Linked DNA regions of Sus scrofa. Each later gene encodes a partner of the first gene's protein in a complex. Links are inferred from orthologs where the notes say so. Each region holds a gene or a part of one and is shown on either strand. Other genes may lie near its edges.

Region 1 (4,284 bases):
GCAATAAGGAATAACAGACGGTAAGGCAATCTTACAATGTCAGAAAATGTATTTGGCTTTTTTTTTTCTTTTTAAAATAAGTGCATACAAATACAGCTAGAAGCAGTTCTGATTTGCCAAGTGCCCTAAAAAAGCAGCGCAAGTCACAGCCTACATTGAAAGGTAACCAGGATAAAGCACAAAGATATGCTAATAACGTTAACAAAAGAAGAAAATGCCTTTATAAGTACATACCTTTTGTCGTCAAAAAAAAAATAGAAACACAATGTATTCAAAAAAAATCAAAATTATACAGCCATGTTTATGAAGTCTACATTTCCCTTGTCTTGGATATATATATATATATGTGTGTATATATATATATATATTTATATATATGGAGATATATACAATTCAAGCAGTTTTAGTTAAGGGTAATCATTGGGTTTTTCTCAAACCGGAAAGTCAAGAGTCTCTCTCTTTTTTCACTTTCACATCTCCAGCAAGGATGGTTGCAATTTCCCCTTGCATGAAGGCCCAGGGGACATTGGAGCCCACAAGAGGGCATTTTTCCCCACTGGGACAATAGACCTCTCCACTAGCTCCCTGCTGTTTGATGCTTTGTCTGGAGCAAGGGAAGCAGAACTTGTGCGAAGGAACGGACGGGCACTGCACAAAGTGGGTGTCCTCCAGCCGCTCGTGGCAGAGGGTGCAGCACAGCGGGGCACTGGCTGCCAGAGAGGAGTCCGGGAGGCTGGCGGGGTGCACTGGCTCCAGTCCTCCTGTGCTGCCTGCCCCCTGGCCCCCTACCTCTCTGGGGCCCAGCCTTCTTTGGTTCATAGAGGACGGAGACGGTGGACTGCTGCTGTTCCTCCTCGTGGTGGAGTGCACCTGATTGGCATCTTTAGAGGCATGACTGCCTCCAGCATTGTCTGCAACTAAGATCAGGGCTGCCATGGGGGACTGGCCGTTCTGGGCCGCTTCAGGCGGTGTGGTCCGGTTGGAATGAGGTGAGGCAGTGGGTGGTGGTGGAGACACAAAAGAGGATGTAGGCGTAATGGGGATCTTGAGCCCTTCAGTGGATGTGGACAGCCAGGGCTGTGCCTCTCCATTGATCTTAGGGGGCCCGACTTCACCTTCTGGTTCTGGTGAAGGCTTCCTTTTCCTTGCAGTTCTTGCAACTGGAAAAAGAGAAATAAAAGGGAAAAGAGAAAATAAATAAAGGTGCACCGGAAAGGCCTTTTACTAACATGAAACAAAATTCGCTAAAGCATTTTTATTCTCTGAAAGCTGGTAGATAAAAACTCACGTGAGCTTTCAAGAGCACGTGTAACTTAAAACACTTAACTTACAGGGCTGAGGCAGTATGCCACTCAAAAACACAAAAGCCACAGAAAACGATTCCTACACAACGGCCTATTCTGACACACGCAAGCATGTAGCCCGGCTAAACCGGGCATACGACTGCTAACGTCCCCCAGCAGGTTAAAAGGTGACTGGTGCTCTCCTGCTCTCCTCCAAGAATGTGCTGGGAAAGGAAAACCCGGTGTCAGTGCCTATCAGCCCGGTCTGACTCATCTCTGTTGTGCTACTTCAGCACAGGAACACGTTGCCACTAAGCACTGGTTCCGCCTCGGGCAAATCAGGAAGTTGGGTGTTTGTTGTTTCTGGGCCGGCCGGGGGAGAAATGGTGAATGGGAAGGGCACCCCCTCCTCTGCTCTCCGTCCCCTCTTCGCCCCGAGATCACCTCACTCCACAGCCGCCCCTACCTGCTTTAGACCCGTTGGCCCCGTTGGCCTCGAAACCCAACAACCTGCCTGCAGTCAGGGCCGGCTCCTTCTTAAACTTGCTCTCGAAGGGCCCCGAGTGGCCGTGCTGGTGCAGCGCCAGCAGCGTGTCTCGAACCGTCTTGGGCCTGTTGACCCAGTCCTGATCGCCGGGCCCGCGGCCCTTGCCCGCGCCCTCCGTGCCCAGCTCGGCCGCCCCGGCCGCGGTGGTCAAGCTGTCTGCCGGGCCGCGGTGCGAGGTCGGCGGCGGCTGCTTCTCCTTGGCTGCCGCCTCGCGCTGCTCGTGCTCCGCCGACGCGCTGCTCGTCACGGACGCCGGCCGCTTGTGGGCGCCCAGTTCGGCCGGCTGCGCCGAGCCCAGCCCGGCAGCCGCGGCCCCGGACACGGCGGCCAGTGAGGCGGCGGCGCGACCGCCCAGGCCAAGAGCGGCGGGCAGCGGCGTGGTCGAGCCGTTCATGAGCGGCACCAGGGTGGGAGGCACGGCGTGGCCGCGCCGCGGGTTAGGGCTCTGGCGGTTCAGCTCCGGCGGCTCCTCCAGCTTGGAGAAGCCGTTGGGCACCAGGATGCCGTTCACGGGCGGCGGCTGCGGCGTTGGCGGCTGGGCCAGACCGGCCGCCGGGCGGCTACCGCTGAAATCGGAGCCGAGGCGCGGGGGCCGCTCGGCTGCGGCGGCTGCCAGAGGGTAGCGCTCCAGGGCCTGCGGGGCGCGCGCGGTGGCCTCGGGGCCGCCGTGGCCGAGCTGCTGCTGCTGCTGCAGGAGAAGGTCCTTGGCGGAGAGCGGCGGCGGCTTAGCGGCGGCCGGAGCCGCGGCGCCGGGCGGGGAGCGGCCCTCCGGGAAGCAGCCGTGCGCCCGCTTGAGCTGCCGCGCCGTCTCGATGACGAACTCGACGCGGTCGGCGCCCTCGTAGTTGACGCAGCCGCGGCACACGGGCTCCGTGAAGTCCCAGATCATGGCCCAGGGCATGCGGGGCAGGTCACACAGGTAGCACGACTGCCGCCGGGACGCGGCCGCCACCGCCACCGCCGCGGCCATGTCCGAGGAGCCCGCGGCGCCGGAGGAGGAGGAGGGGGCGCCGCCGCTCCCCGCCGGCACCACGCGCGCCCTCCTCCCCCCCCAACCCCGCGTCTCCCCCACCAGCGGCGGCGGCGGCCGCAAAGGCGGCGGCGGCGGCAAAGCCCGCGAAGGATCGGCGCCCGCGCAGCGCCCCCGGTGCACGAGGGGCGGCGGGCGCGGGGCGAGGGGTTGCAGCCGCGGCAGCACGTCCCCCCGGCCGGCGCGGGCGCGGGTGGGCGGCGGGGCGGCGCGGCGCGGCGGGCGCGGCGGCGGCGGCGGCGGCGGGGGCTCGGCCGGGGCCGCGGCGGGCCTCCAGACCGGGGCGAAGACGGGCCGCGCGGGCGCGGGGGAGCGCAGCAGGTCGCGGCGGCGGCCGGCGCGGAGTGCGGGGCGGGGGGCGGGGAGGCCGGGGGGGCGGGGGGCGGGGGGCGGCCGCCGGGGCAGGCTCAGCCCGAGCGGCGGGGCATGCCGCGCCGGGGCGGCGGCGGCGGCGGCCGTGCGGCGTGGAGCTCGGGCGCGGCACGGGCCCGGGTCGCTCCGCTGCTCTCTCACAGCTCCTGGCGTCGCCGCTCTCCAGCGCCCGCCTCAGCGCCCAGCCCGCCTCAGCTCCGCCGCCGCCGTCGCTGCTGCTGCTGCCGCCGCGGCCGCTCCACTTCTACAGACTTGATTCTTCGACAGCCTCGCAAGGCGCCTGCGCGGGCCCCCTCCCCTCGCGCGCGCGCGCCCGCCCTCCCCCGCTCCCTCCCCCTCCCCCCGCCAGAGAACGAGCGCTGCCGGGAGAGCCGGCTCCGCGGCGCCCGCCCGCGGGTCAGCACCACCCGCCTGCGCCGCGGCTCGTGTCCCCGACGTGAAGCCGTCGCTGGTGTGGCTTGCTTTCCTCCACCCGCTCGGCTCCCTCGACTGCTCAGGCAGTTCCTTCTCGTCTAGGGCTGTTTGAGCCAAACCGTGCTAGAACTCATGTTTTGAAAAGCCAGGCCACTCTGTAACCTGGTTCTGTTAGTAGCATCTTGAGGATGGGGATTTTCAGTCAAGTGCTGTTCACAGTTTTGTAAGGAGCTTTATTTGAACTCCTCGGTGAGTGCTTTTACACCCGCATGTCTTGGGAAGGACACACGCGCCGCCGGTCCCCTAAACTTTTACAACAGGAGGGTGCGCGCCCAAGCCTAGGGCCGCGTCCACCCGCCCTTCTACGGAGCCCTTCCGGGAGCGAGCGGGTACGCTGCCCGAGGAGGTTCCGATCCCCCTCTTCCCCAGTCCGCAGCCCGCCGGGCCACGCGGGGATCCCGGTCGCCTGCTGCAGGCCCGCGCGGCGGGCGCGTGACGTGGGCGCGGGGCCGCGTGCGCCGCCACCGAGTGCGCACGCTCCGCGCGGACGTGACTCGGCGCCGCTGGCACTGGCGGCCCCATTGAACGAATGCACATTCCAGGGATCCGGGGTCAGCGGCCAACGCGGCCGCGTCACC
Region 2 (3,963 bases), on another chromosome or scaffold:
CAGAGCCACCCTGGAATCTGCCCACCCACAGTAACCCAGCAGGAGGATGCCACTTTATAAATCCAGATGTCCCAGGACTGGAGCAGCAGAGAGGGAAAGGAGGGGCCTGAGCAGAGAGCGTGGCTCATCTGCAAAGACCGGGCTGGGACTGAAACGAGCTACCTGGGAGAGGAGAGTGGTGTGGGGCGGTAAGGACCGGCCAGCCTAGGGCCTGGGGGGCGGAGGCAGATTCACCACAGGGCCCAAACCCCATCCTGGGGAGCAGAGGCCATGACTGCCTGTAGCCTGGCCCAGAGCAGATGAGCTACCCCTCAACCCTCAAACTTTTCTCCAAAGGCCCAAAAGTTAGAGACAGAAAATGCTGTCCCGGCATCTCCTAGGCGCCAGCATTTGCCCTGACAAAGCGGACAGAGGTTAAGGGTATAGTGACCCATTTCTCTGTCCATGAAAGAAGTGCTGATCTAGTTTTTCAAATGCTGCCTGAGCCTCGAGACGGTGTGGAGGGCAGGAATGATGGCCCTGTGTGTTTTTCTCTCTGAACAGAAAGCGAAACTACCGATAGTGTGCCCAGTGATGAAGAGAGCTCAGAGGTAAGTACGGCGACCACACTGACTCCAGCAGATGCTGGGGGGAGGGGGTGCCTGGGGGGGAGTCAGGGGGGCTTCTCAACCAGCACTTTGGGTTCCTAGCTGCTAGTTAGGTTTTTTTCTTTTCGATCAAGAGTTTCCCTTTGGGATTTTTGTTTTTTTTTGGTGGTGGTGGTGGTAAAATATAACATAAGATTTACAGTGCTTTTGGATTTCAAATTATGAAATGAAACTCAGGGGACTGCATGGGAGCGAAAATGTTACCATGCGAAAGGAGGCTGGAGGATGGCAGGAAAAGGCCAGGAAACGTTGATAATCTTACCACCATAAACATCCTGAGGCCCAAGCAGAAATAGAAGGTCCAAGTGGCCAAAGCTCACATCAGGCAGTGCTAAGCAAAAGTAGCACCCCACCCCCACATACCTGGAGTCCCCACCCTCTGTGATCCTGCCCAGAAGCCAGGTGTGTGTTGGTCTGGATTCTGAGTCTCCTCTTCTGATCTCCCTCCTCTCAGCTGGGAAAAGGGCAGGAAATGGCTATAATGGTGATGGAAAGCATTCCTGCAAAGCCTGCTCTGTGTCTGCCTGTGAGGAATGGAGGGGAGAGAGAGAAGTTGAGTAGTGGTTGTTTGGATTAGTGATTTCCCGATGTACTAAATACTTTCAAGTATAGGCCAGGAATTCTGAAAAGACAGTAGTTGCAGGAACCTATGTATATCCGGACCCTGTTTCTTCAAGGTCAGTATTCCAGCTCCTTCTCTGAACAAAGCCATCCTCAAGGCCAGCTACTTGCCTGCACGCTGAAGCCCTAAGCTCCAAGCCATTTGAAAGCAATCTGGGGGCATTCCCTCCCTCTGAAAACCTTGACTCCAAGGTCGGAGGCCAGCTGTGAGGAGCCATCCTCCGTGACACACACCAGTAGTCCAGCTCTGAGCTCCCTAATGATGAGGCCGAGCAGCTAGAGTAGAGGGAACCAGAAACCCAAGTTGCTGCCTTGTTTCCTGCCCTCATAGAACAGTCTTGGCTAGGTTTCTGGGAGGTGGCAGATGGCCTTGATAAAAAGGGAAGAGGCCATGGCCGGGGGTGTACAGAGCTGGGGGAGGGTTTCAGTCCAGGGACCTGGAGACAGTTGCTAAGCTGTTTCTTTGGTCCACGCCCCTTGAGAAATTCAGGCACCGACACCTGGGAAACATGGTGCTTCTTTTTCTCTTTTTCTTTGTTGTCTTTTTTAGGGCTGCCCTTGCGGCATGTGGAGGTTCCCAGGCTAGGGGTCGAATTGGAGCCGCAGCCGCCAGCCTTACACCACAGCCACAGCAACGAAGGATCCAAGCTGCACCTGCGACCTGGACCACAGCTCATGGCAACGCCAGATCTTTAACTCACTGAGCGAGGCCAGGGATCGAACCTGCGTCCTCATGGGTTCTAGTCAGATTCATTTCCGTTGAGCCGCAGTGGGAACACCCATGGTACATTTTTTTAAAAAGCCATACAGAGAAGGCCAGGCAAATAGACGTATCTTGATTCTTGTCCTTGGAAGGGCCGACCTCACTGGCGGAAGAGGAACATTGAAGGCAAGCAGTACCTCAGCAACATGGGGACGCGGACCGCCTACCTGCTGCCCAGCATGGCAACCTTCGTCACTTCCAACAAGCCCGACCTCCAGGTCACTGTCAAAGAGGAGAGCTGTCCGGTGCCTTACAACAGCTCCTGGCCCCCGTTCCCAGACCTCCCCCTCACAGCCCCCGGGACCCCGGCGCCCAGCAGCAGTCGGCCGGACCGGGAGACCCGGGCCAGTGTCATCAAGAAGACATCCGACGTCACCCAGGCCCGCGTCAAGAGCTGTTAAGCCTTTGACTTCCCCTGGTGGTTGTTGGGATTTCTTGGCTTTGTTTTATTGTTTGTTTGTATTTTATTTTTCTCTCTGACATCTGTTTTAGACAAATCTTAAGGGAAAAAGCCTTGACATTAGAACATTGATTGCTGTGTCCAACTCCAGTACTGGAGCTTCTTTTGAACTCAGGACTCCAGCCCCTTGGTAGACGCGTGATCTCTAGAGCCTGCTGGATCTCCCAGGGCTGCTCCCTCAAGTTCAAGAACGTCATAGGACCAACACCCACACGGGCAGTGAGGTGCTGCATTGCCTGCGGTCAAGGCCAGCGTGGTGGCGTGGATGCCTCAGAATGGATGAGAAAATGTGAACTAGCTAGAATTTTTTATTCTTGTGAATATGTACATAGGGCAGTACTAGCGACGTTGCAGTCTGCTTCTGCACCTTATCTTAAAGCACTTACAGACAGACCTTCTTGTGATCTTGCTCTGTTTCACAGCACCGTCAACACCCCCTTCCCTGCCCTCCTCCCCTCCCCTCCCATTTCCTTCCTCCTTTTTTCTCCCTTCAAAGGCTGTGTCCCACATCCCTGAGGAGGAGGAGAAGAAAATGAACTTCTCCGCAGATGTCCCATTTTCAGACTGCTTTAAAAAAAAAAAAAAAAGAAAAAAGAAAATCTTTCTAATCTGCTATGCTTGAATGCCACGCGGTACAAAGAAAAACTATCATGGAGAGATTATTCAAATTCCCAGATTTGAAGACGAAAATACTCTAATTCTAACCAGAGCAAGCTTTTTTATTTTTTATACAGGGGAATATTTTATTCAAGGTAAAATTCTAAAGAAGATATAATTGTTTTTTATCTTTTCTACAGCAAATTTATAATTTTAAGATTCCTTTTCTTGTTTATCGGCAATTGTTATTACATCCTTGTGGCACATTTTTTTTTTAATTTTGTAAAGTTGAAAAAGCTTTTATGAGCTCATGTAGCAATCAAATTATCCTGTGGACTGATAATAAATGAATATGATATATAGTTAAATTTTTAATGGGCATCTTGCCTGGCTTTGTCTGTGGGTACCTGAGCACTATCGTGGGATAGGACTGGCAGAGTGCCCTTTCTTGTGACCAGTAACTGTCCCCCTTTCAAGCCTAGAGGTACTTGATGGGGGCTCCCCCCCTGAGCTGACACTGTGCTGAATGTGCATGATGAATTCACTTCTTCACTCATCGAGTTGTGCTCAGGGTGGGGATGTCTCTCCAGTTCACAGGAGGAAATGGAGACCTAAAAGGAAGATGCCTTGACTCAAGGTCACATAGGTAGTAAGAGTCAAGGACACAAGCTAAGCCCAAAGCTGCTGTGACAATGGAGGGAGTCTTTTTTTTTTTTTTTTTTTTTTTTTTGTCTTTTTAGGGCTGAATCTTCTGCGTATGGAGGTTCCCAGGCTAAGGGTCGAATCGGAGCTGTAACTGCCAGCCTACACCACAGCCACAGCAACGTGAGATCTGAGCCATGTCTGCAACCTACACCACAGCTTACGGCAACGGC
Region 3 (3,500 bases), on another chromosome or scaffold:
TTGGCTCATCTGGGAACCATGGAGCCTGTGTGCTGCCTGCGTCGATTTCACACCAGTGGGCCCTGTGCGCCCAGCCTTACCCAGGCCAGCCCACCCCCACACAATGCCTCATTAATATTCTGTCGTTCTTGGCCCATTTGCTGCTGGGGCCGGGTGTTTAGCATCGGCAGCTGTGTTTGGTAGGTTAGTCCAGCCGCGCTCTTGGCATTGATGGATCCCTGATTCACACGGCTCGTCATATAATAAACTCTCAGCTGTGTTGAAGGGGTTGGGGGGCTGAGGGGCCGACGGGATGGGGCTGGGCTGGGTTGGGGAGGGTGACACAGGGCCTCCGCGATGCCAGGGAAACCACCAGGTGAGAACAGATCCCTGGGGTCACAGGTGCACAGGGCAGGCCGGAAGGGGGTCTAATTAGTCTCGTTTGTCCTGCACTTAATGTCAAGCTCATTAAAAAGGCTACAGAGTTAATCAACATACCACAAATTGGATTTTGAGTTCTGCAGCCAGTTTTGTGTACATTATGGCAACACTGATACGATTAACTCTCAGGGTGAGGATTTTAGGCCAGGTGCTCACCGTGCTTCAAAATCCCTGTGCGTGTGTGTGTGTGTGTGTGTGTGTGTGTGTTGGTGTCTTGTCCTTTTTTTCCCCTAGGTTCTATTTATTCCTTTCCCTAGGCTGACTCTAGAGATTTCCTATTTAAACTCATTTAACATGTGATCCACTTCATAATTAAATTCATAAAAATCTGATCAAACAAACCCCTCTGCCTTAACCCTTTGTTTTTTCAACTCCGAGGGCCCCCCTCTGGAGGGGAAAGGCACAGACGGCGGCTCCACCTCCGGGCCGAGCGGGCTGCCGATGTACGTTTTAATTACCGGCTCCGGCTGAAGTCTCACGTGGCCCTTGCTTTATTTATTTATTTCTATCTTAATGAGGATACTGAATCCTTGATTAAAGTCGTAATCGTTGCCGATTCGGTGAGGAGGGGGGAGCTGGCTGTCAGCCGGGGCCGTGTGGGCAGATGTCTACACGGAGAGCGTGGCGTCTGGGCCCAGGCTCTGCCCGCCCGTCCCTGTTAGACGCACACCTGATGAGGACCAGGGTCTGCATGGCATCTACTCTCCTGTGGTTGGATGGGGCTGGTGGCGGGGGGCCAGGCCGTCTGCATAGTCCCTGCAGCCGGGGGCAGGCAGGTGCCAGGAACCGAGGGCACCAAGGACCTGCCTCATCACCAGATCTGCATGTGGGGCTCACTTCTGAGCCCAGCGCGGTGCCCCACAGCATGGTGGGAGCTGGTGTGGAGCAAGAGACGTCTTTGCTCAGCATCTCCCCTCTGACTCCTCCACGGGAGGGCTCCCACCCACCCGGGCTCCCACCCACCCTTCTACGCCCTGGGAGCTTCGTGCAAATCTTCCACCCATGAGAGAGCCTGCCAGCGAGCGGACCCCAGCGTTCACTCCCCACAGAGCCCTAGAAACCCTTCAGAGACATCAGAAGGGATGAGAATGTATGTGGGTACCGGGGTCTACCTTCGAGAAGGGGGAGGTTTGGTTAGCGGCCTGAGGACGGGAGAGAGAAGAGAGTAAAATATCATTTTAAAGAGGAAGTGAAGGCTCAGGCATGCGAGTCTATAACGAGAAGGACAATTTATGCCCAGGCACGAGCGCAGTTTGACATGGGGATAATGAAAAAACGTAGGTCATTGTGGATGACTTAAACCTTCAGCAGCTGAAGAAAATGTATGAAATGCAGAGGACATTACACGGTTGGCAGCCCCGCACATCTGCAGAGGGACAAGTGAAATACAGTGGGCCATTCTTTACCATAAACTGTGGTTGTTGGAGATGCAGCCCAGAGAAATTGTAATTACAGTGACAAGACGAATCAGCGATATTTAAATATTCATGAACAAAGTCTGGGGTGATCAATCTATCTTTATTGTCTGTGCCTTCACTCCTGTAATAAATAAGTAGCTGAAGCCCTCACCTTTCATCCCTCCAAAGCCCCCACTTTGGGTGCAAAGGGAGAGATGGTGAGCCCCCACACCCCAGCTTCTAACCCGGGAGGAGACTTCAGGGTGGAGTGCACGGAACGGAGGCTGATGGGCGCAGAGGCCGGGCCGGGGAAAGGCAGCTCTCCCCAAGCTTCAAATCCTGACATTTCCTGGGCGTCTGCTCAGTGTTGCCCCTGTGCTTCGTGTCAAGGCTCCAGGGATGAGCAAGGCTCCCTTCTGGCCCTCGTGGTGCTTTCATTCTCGAAGCACAGTGAGTGTGACCAGAGATACAGTACAGTATGTCAGTTACCATTCTGCTAAGCAGCCAGTGCCCAGCCTCCGGAACCCAACTCACAATCCCATCTCAGCTGCTTACTAGCTCTTTGACCTTAGGGACCACGTTGAAGCATCTCTAAACATCTCACTTCTCTCATGGGTAAGATGAGAAGGATACTGTCTTTCTTGTAAGGTTGTTGTGATGATTGCATGATATGATCTGTGTGAAGTTCTTAGCACAGTATAAAGCACTCAACAAATGTGGGTCACTTTAATTAGAAAGTGCGGTAAAAATTGTACTCCTGCTACCAAATGCATTTCTGTCTGGGAATAGAGGAGAAAGTGACTCAGTTTACCTGGGCTGGGGCAGCAGAGGATGGCGCTAAAAGGAAAGTTCCAAACCGTGGTGATGTGGTGGGAGCTGGGCTTTGATGAGCGAGTAGGAATTCACCAAGGAGAGGAGAGGAAATCACACAGCAAGAACAGCTGCATAAGACTGTGGAGGAAGGAGAGAAAGATCAGAAGGCATTTGGGGGACAATGAGAACATTGGAGGGGTTTTTTTTGAGGCTAGGAGAGTCAGGCTGGTATGGCTTTTGCCTCTGACCTCCTAGGGGCAAGAAAGCTGGGGGCAGGGTCTTGAAGCCCCTGGGTCTGTTCTGCCCTCAGACGGTCTGCTTTCTGGGGGTTCTGTTCATCCCTGAATCAAACAGACTCTTGCCCAAGACTGGCCCTTGAGGCATGGATGGCCACTGGGCCAAGGTCAGGGATGGACACATGTGGCCAGGTGTGCTCCCTGTTGATGCCAGGGGCCAGCAGCAAGGGCCACATTGTCTTTGGAGGTAGTGAGTACAGACAGTCTTACCCCCTGCCCATGCACTCAGCGTGCCCTGCTGTCCCCCAAAGAGGGGGCAGGGGAAGGCGAGGGCCTGATTCAGCCTCTTGTCCCCACAGGTGACCACCCGTATGAGTGTGAGTTCTGTGGCAGCTGCTTCCGGGATGAGAGCACACTCAAGAGCCACAAGCGCATCCACACGGGCGAGAAACCCTACGAGTGCAATGGCTGTGGCAAGAAGTTCAGCCTCAAGCACCAGCTGGAGACGCACTATCGAGTGCATACAGGTACCCAGGACACGCAGCCCATAGCCAGCTCTGGGACCTGGGTGGGAGAGGGCCACGGTTCCCAGAGAAGCCCGGGTGAGGAGGGTCCCAGGCTGAGCCAGCACGAG
Region 4 (3,500 bases), on another chromosome or scaffold:
ACCCGCTGAGACACAACAGTAACTCTTTAATTTTTAAAATTATTATTTTAAAATTTTATTTTAATTTAATTTAATTTTTTATTTTTTGGTCTTTTTGTCTTTCTAGACCCACACCCATGGCATTTGGAGGTTCCCAAGCTAGGGGTCCAGTCAGAGCTGTAGTCACCAGCCTATGCCACAGCCATGGCAACACTGGATCCTTAACCCACTGAGAGAGGCCAGGGATCGATCTTGTGTCCTCATGGATGCTAGTCGAGTTCACTAACTGCTGAGCCACAACAGGAACTCTGATTGTTACTTAATTGTGATACATACATAGTGCCATTTTAGGCATTGTTAAGTGTAAGGTCCGGTAGCATTAAGTCTCTTCTCTGAGGAAGCTTTAAAAATTAAAGATGCTTTAACAATTTGATTATTACTAGTTGGGCTGTGAAGGTTTAGTACCGGCCCACAGGTTCACAGAGGGTGGATGTTCTGTGAGGGATGAAGGGCAGAGGGAAGGGGGTTGAGTTGGAGACAGGCCCTGTCCTGCGACCCTCATGGGCTCTGCTCCCTCCTGGCCTCGCCCTGTTCCCAGTTTCTTCCTGCTTTGAACTCCATCTAAACTCCACCCCTGTGCATAGTGGGTGTTGCCACAGTGTCAGTCCACTCCTGCCAAGAATGTCCTGCACCCCACGCAGTCATCCTGTCACCTCAGGCATGTTTAGTTGTTACCAGAGCCTGGGCCCCAGGGTGGGGAAGCCAGGGGGCAAGGGCTGGACTGGGCCTTGTCTTACCTGGGCCGAAGGGTCTGCAGCATGGGGACCCCCAGGGCCCCAGAGCATATCCTCCAAAGGATTGACGGAAGTGCCTTAGATCCACTTCCCCTCCCTTGTCCTAAGAGTTCAGACTCAGGTTGGTTTGGTTAATTAATGGCCGGATGAGGAAGGGTCCCCGGGATGAGGATGGGTCGGCAGTGAAGGAATTCAGTTCAGGCCCGAGAACGTCAAGAAAGACTTTCCTGGGGGTTTCCTTCAGCTCTGAGCTCCAGTAGGTCAAAGGGCAGAGCGTCTCATGTGAATGAGTTCAAGAGGCTGTGGTGCACTTTTCTCACGTGATGGACTCCTCACACTTTCGTTGCCCGGAGTCGAGTGAACCTCCCCCAGCTTCACACCTCACGGGGTGGAGTGGCAGCACGTGGCATCCATTTCTCCAGAGCACTTTGTCCTGCAGGAAAGCATCACCTTTTTACTTTGTGGCCCCTTCCCTGTTCACCTTCCTGAAACGGTTGGCTGAGGGGATCCCCTCCCCAGGACAGGAAAGGGTCCCTGGGACTTGGAACAGTCCCCGAGCCCTGGTCACTGGCGGGTTCTCAGCATCTGGCTGCCCCTGAGCCCTTTGGGCTCCAAAGGGGCTGCACTTGGCTCCTCACGAGCAGACTCCCACTCTGAGAACGGAGGCGACGTTGGGGCCTCTCGGGCAGGAAGAGTGTGGTTTGGGTCCATGAGCACGACGCCCGGGAAGCAAGGAGGCTGGGCTATGATTCACCGGGGGTGGAAAACAGTGTCTGTCTTGAAGCTCCAGCAAGTGAGCTGGAAATGTGAGTCATGTATAATTTTACTAAAATTAACCAGCGGGCTCTTCAGACGTTTGCTGTGTGTTTCAGTGTCTTTTCTGCTGCGCGATGCCCACCGTGTCCTGCCTGTGGTGGCCTGCTCCCCCGAGTCCCGTCCTCAGGGCCACTGGGTGTGGCTGTGAGCACAGGTGACACACCTCCGGCGCTGACTCTGCCATGCTTCCGTCGCCACGTGGGAGCCTGATGCCCCAGCCCCGGCCTTCCTGTCCTCCCCAGATCACGGGTCTAGGAGAAAGCAGTGCCATGTGTTCCTCCCTGGGACCCGCGGGATGGGCTGGGTGGACACTGGGTGAATATCGTGGAGTCGGGACTGGGCGGAGGTAGACTGACAACAAAGCTCGCACCTCTGTCCCTAAGCCTGCTTGGGCCCCAAAACCTCACTTTTTGGGGGAGGGAGGGGAGACTGTGTCAGGGAAGCACAATTTACATAGTTTGTCATACATTGCATTTTATTTTACTCCAATTTAGAAAGAAAGCTGATACTGAAAGTGAGTCTGTAACGGTGGGGTCTTTCACACTCTGAGAATTCAGATACTTAGTCATAAACATCCGTCCGGTAAACGCCAGGCCCTCTCCCATAGGCCTGAAACCCCTCAGGCGGGCATGGCACTTCTGTGAGGTTCTGCGGGAAATCGGCGCTCGAGATCACAGCCGCGGAGACTCTGCCGTCAAGGCCTGTGACGCCTTCTGAATCATCATGGGAAGGCCTGTGGCTTGTGTGGAGTGCTTCTTCTGGACTCTGACCAGAACCCGCTCCATGGTGGTCCCAGTGGCTGGCCGTGTACCATGTAATTGCCTCCAAGTCCTCCTGCAGAGCAGACCGGAGAGTAAAGGGAAGAAATGCTGTGCCTTTGCAGTTAGTTCCTCTGTAGCTGATGAACTATGTTTGCGGCAGATTTGGTTCCGCTAATGCTCACAGATCCCCTGCCCTGTACCAGTGCAGTCCTTTATGTTTGTATAATGGCCCCTCCCCACTGAGACCCTCCGAGGCAGCTCTTTTGACCAGGACACCCCCGTCTGTGGCCTCTAAGAGCCGCTGAGGCTTGCGAGGGCCTCACCCCCAAGCCCCTGCCACCTGACAGGCACGTGCTCCATCTGCAGGGTGGCTCCTCTGGGGAGGGGTGGTTATGGGGTCTTCCCAGTGCTGTTGGGGAGACCTCATGCGCTGAGGCTGGTGAGGCCTGGAGCAGGAGCCGGCGTGTGGGAGGCATCGGCTGCTTTGGCATCATCACCGCCTTCATCCTTGGTAATGGCAGGTTCTTGTCAAACCAAGCCAGCCTCAAGCACACAGGTGAGGTCTCAGGGCTGTTAGCCAGGGAGTTGTAGAAGCACTCTGATGGGCCGCTGCCTTCGTCTGGATGGCCCCCTGGAGCCGATTCGGGCCTGGGAAGGTTCTTCACCCAGCGCCAACCTGGGCGAGCATCCTGGCTCTTCAATACCAACTAGCTGTTTGACCCACACCTCAGAAAACGGGGCGATAGTGGTGTGGGACTTCTCCACAGCAAGGTGGGGGGCGATGGGATGGGTGAGAGCGCCTGGCTGTGGTCGAAGGCCCCTTCGCCCATGGAAGCTTCAGGTTCCCACCTGAGCGCTCACTCCTCTTTTCAGGAGCAAGACTGCCAATGGAGACTGCCGGAAAGACCCCCGGGAGCGGAGCCGCAGCCCCATCGAGCGCGCCGCGGCCCCCACCATGAGCCTGCACGGCAGCCACCTGTACACGTCCCTCCCCAGCCTCAGCATGGAGCAGCCCCTCGCACTGACCAAGAACAGCCTAGACACCAGCAGGCCAGCCGGCATCTCACCCACCCTGACCCCAGTGGAGCGGCAGCAGGTATGTCTTTGTTCTGTGGCGCTCGGCTGGTGGCTGGTAGTGGGTCCAGGCGCC

Evidence for each region. Proteins that work in one complex are often made in the same cells at the same time.
Region 2: the proteins of IRF2BP2 (region 1) and IRF2 are in contact, whole or in part, in a crystal structure (PDB 8YTG), measured with the Homo sapiens proteins. The link is inferred for Sus scrofa from reciprocal best matches to the Homo sapiens genes IRF2BP2 and IRF2. Residues at the interface, in NP_892017.2 of Homo sapiens: His517, Phe518, Val519, Gln520, Pro522, Phe531, Leu557, Trp564, Ala565, Phe566, Met567, Glu570, Thr573, Ile574; in NP_002190.2 of Homo sapiens: Arg331, Ala332, Ser333, Val334, Ile335, Lys336.
Region 3: the proteins of IRF2BP2 (region 1) and ZBTB16 are in contact, whole or in part, in a crystal structure (PDB 8YTH), measured with the Homo sapiens proteins. The link is inferred for Sus scrofa from reciprocal best matches to the Homo sapiens genes IRF2BP2 and ZBTB16. Residues at the interface, in NP_892017.2 of Homo sapiens: Thr516, His517, Phe518, Val519, Gln520, Pro522, Phe531, Leu557, Trp564, Ala565, Phe566, Met567, Glu570, Thr573, Ile574; in NP_001018011.1 of Homo sapiens: Arg285, Ser287, Val288, Ile289, Thr290, Ser291.
Region 4: the proteins of IRF2BP2 (region 1) and VGLL4 are in contact, whole or in part, in a crystal structure (PDB 8YTF), measured with the Homo sapiens proteins. The link is inferred for Sus scrofa from reciprocal best matches to the Homo sapiens genes IRF2BP2 and VGLL4. Residues at the interface, in NP_892017.2 of Homo sapiens: Thr516, His517, Phe518, Val519, Gln520, Pro522, Phe531, Leu557, Trp564, Ala565, Phe566, Met567, Glu570, Thr573, Ile574; in NP_055482.2 of Homo sapiens: Arg161, Ser163, Val164, Ile165, Thr166.

Annotation. Positions count from the first base shown.
Region 1 is NC_010456.5:56,544,400-56,548,683, reverse strand, and holds the start of IRF2BP2 (interferon regulatory factor 2-binding protein 2), read right to left. Parts: upstream 2,801-4,284; coding exon 1,750-2,800; intron 1,161-1,749; coding exon 445-1,160; 3' UTR 1-444. Other genes in the region: uncharacterized protein LOC110256820, read left to right, coding at 2,799-3,204, 3,266-3,672. UniProt on the Homo sapiens protein: Acts as a transcriptional corepressor in a IRF2-dependent manner; this repression is not mediated by histone deacetylase activities. Represses the NFAT1-dependent transactivation of NFAT-responsive promoters.
Region 2 is NC_010457.5:45,546,279-45,550,241, reverse strand, and holds the end of IRF2 (interferon regulatory factor 2), read left to right. Parts: intron 1-543; coding exon 544-590; intron 591-2,123; coding exon 2,124-2,432; 3' UTR 2,433-3,463; downstream 3,464-3,963. UniProt on the Homo sapiens protein: Specifically binds to the upstream regulatory region of type I IFN and IFN-inducible MHC class I genes (the interferon consensus sequence (ICS)) and represses those genes. Also acts as an activator for several genes including H4 and IL7.
Region 3 is NC_010451.4:41,828,036-41,831,535, forward strand, and holds part of ZBTB16 (zinc finger and BTB domain-containing protein 16), read left to right. Parts: intron 1-3,225; coding exon 3,226-3,393; intron 3,394-3,500. UniProt on the Homo sapiens protein: Acts as a transcriptional repressor. Transcriptional repression may be mediated through recruitment of histone deacetylases to target promoters. May play a role in myeloid maturation and in the development and/or maintenance of other differentiated tissues.
Region 4 is NC_010455.5:67,706,207-67,709,706, reverse strand, and holds part of VGLL4 (transcription cofactor vestigial-like protein 4), read left to right. Parts: intron 1-3,223; coding exon 3,224-3,446; intron 3,447-3,500. UniProt on the Homo sapiens protein: May act as a specific coactivator for the mammalian TEFs.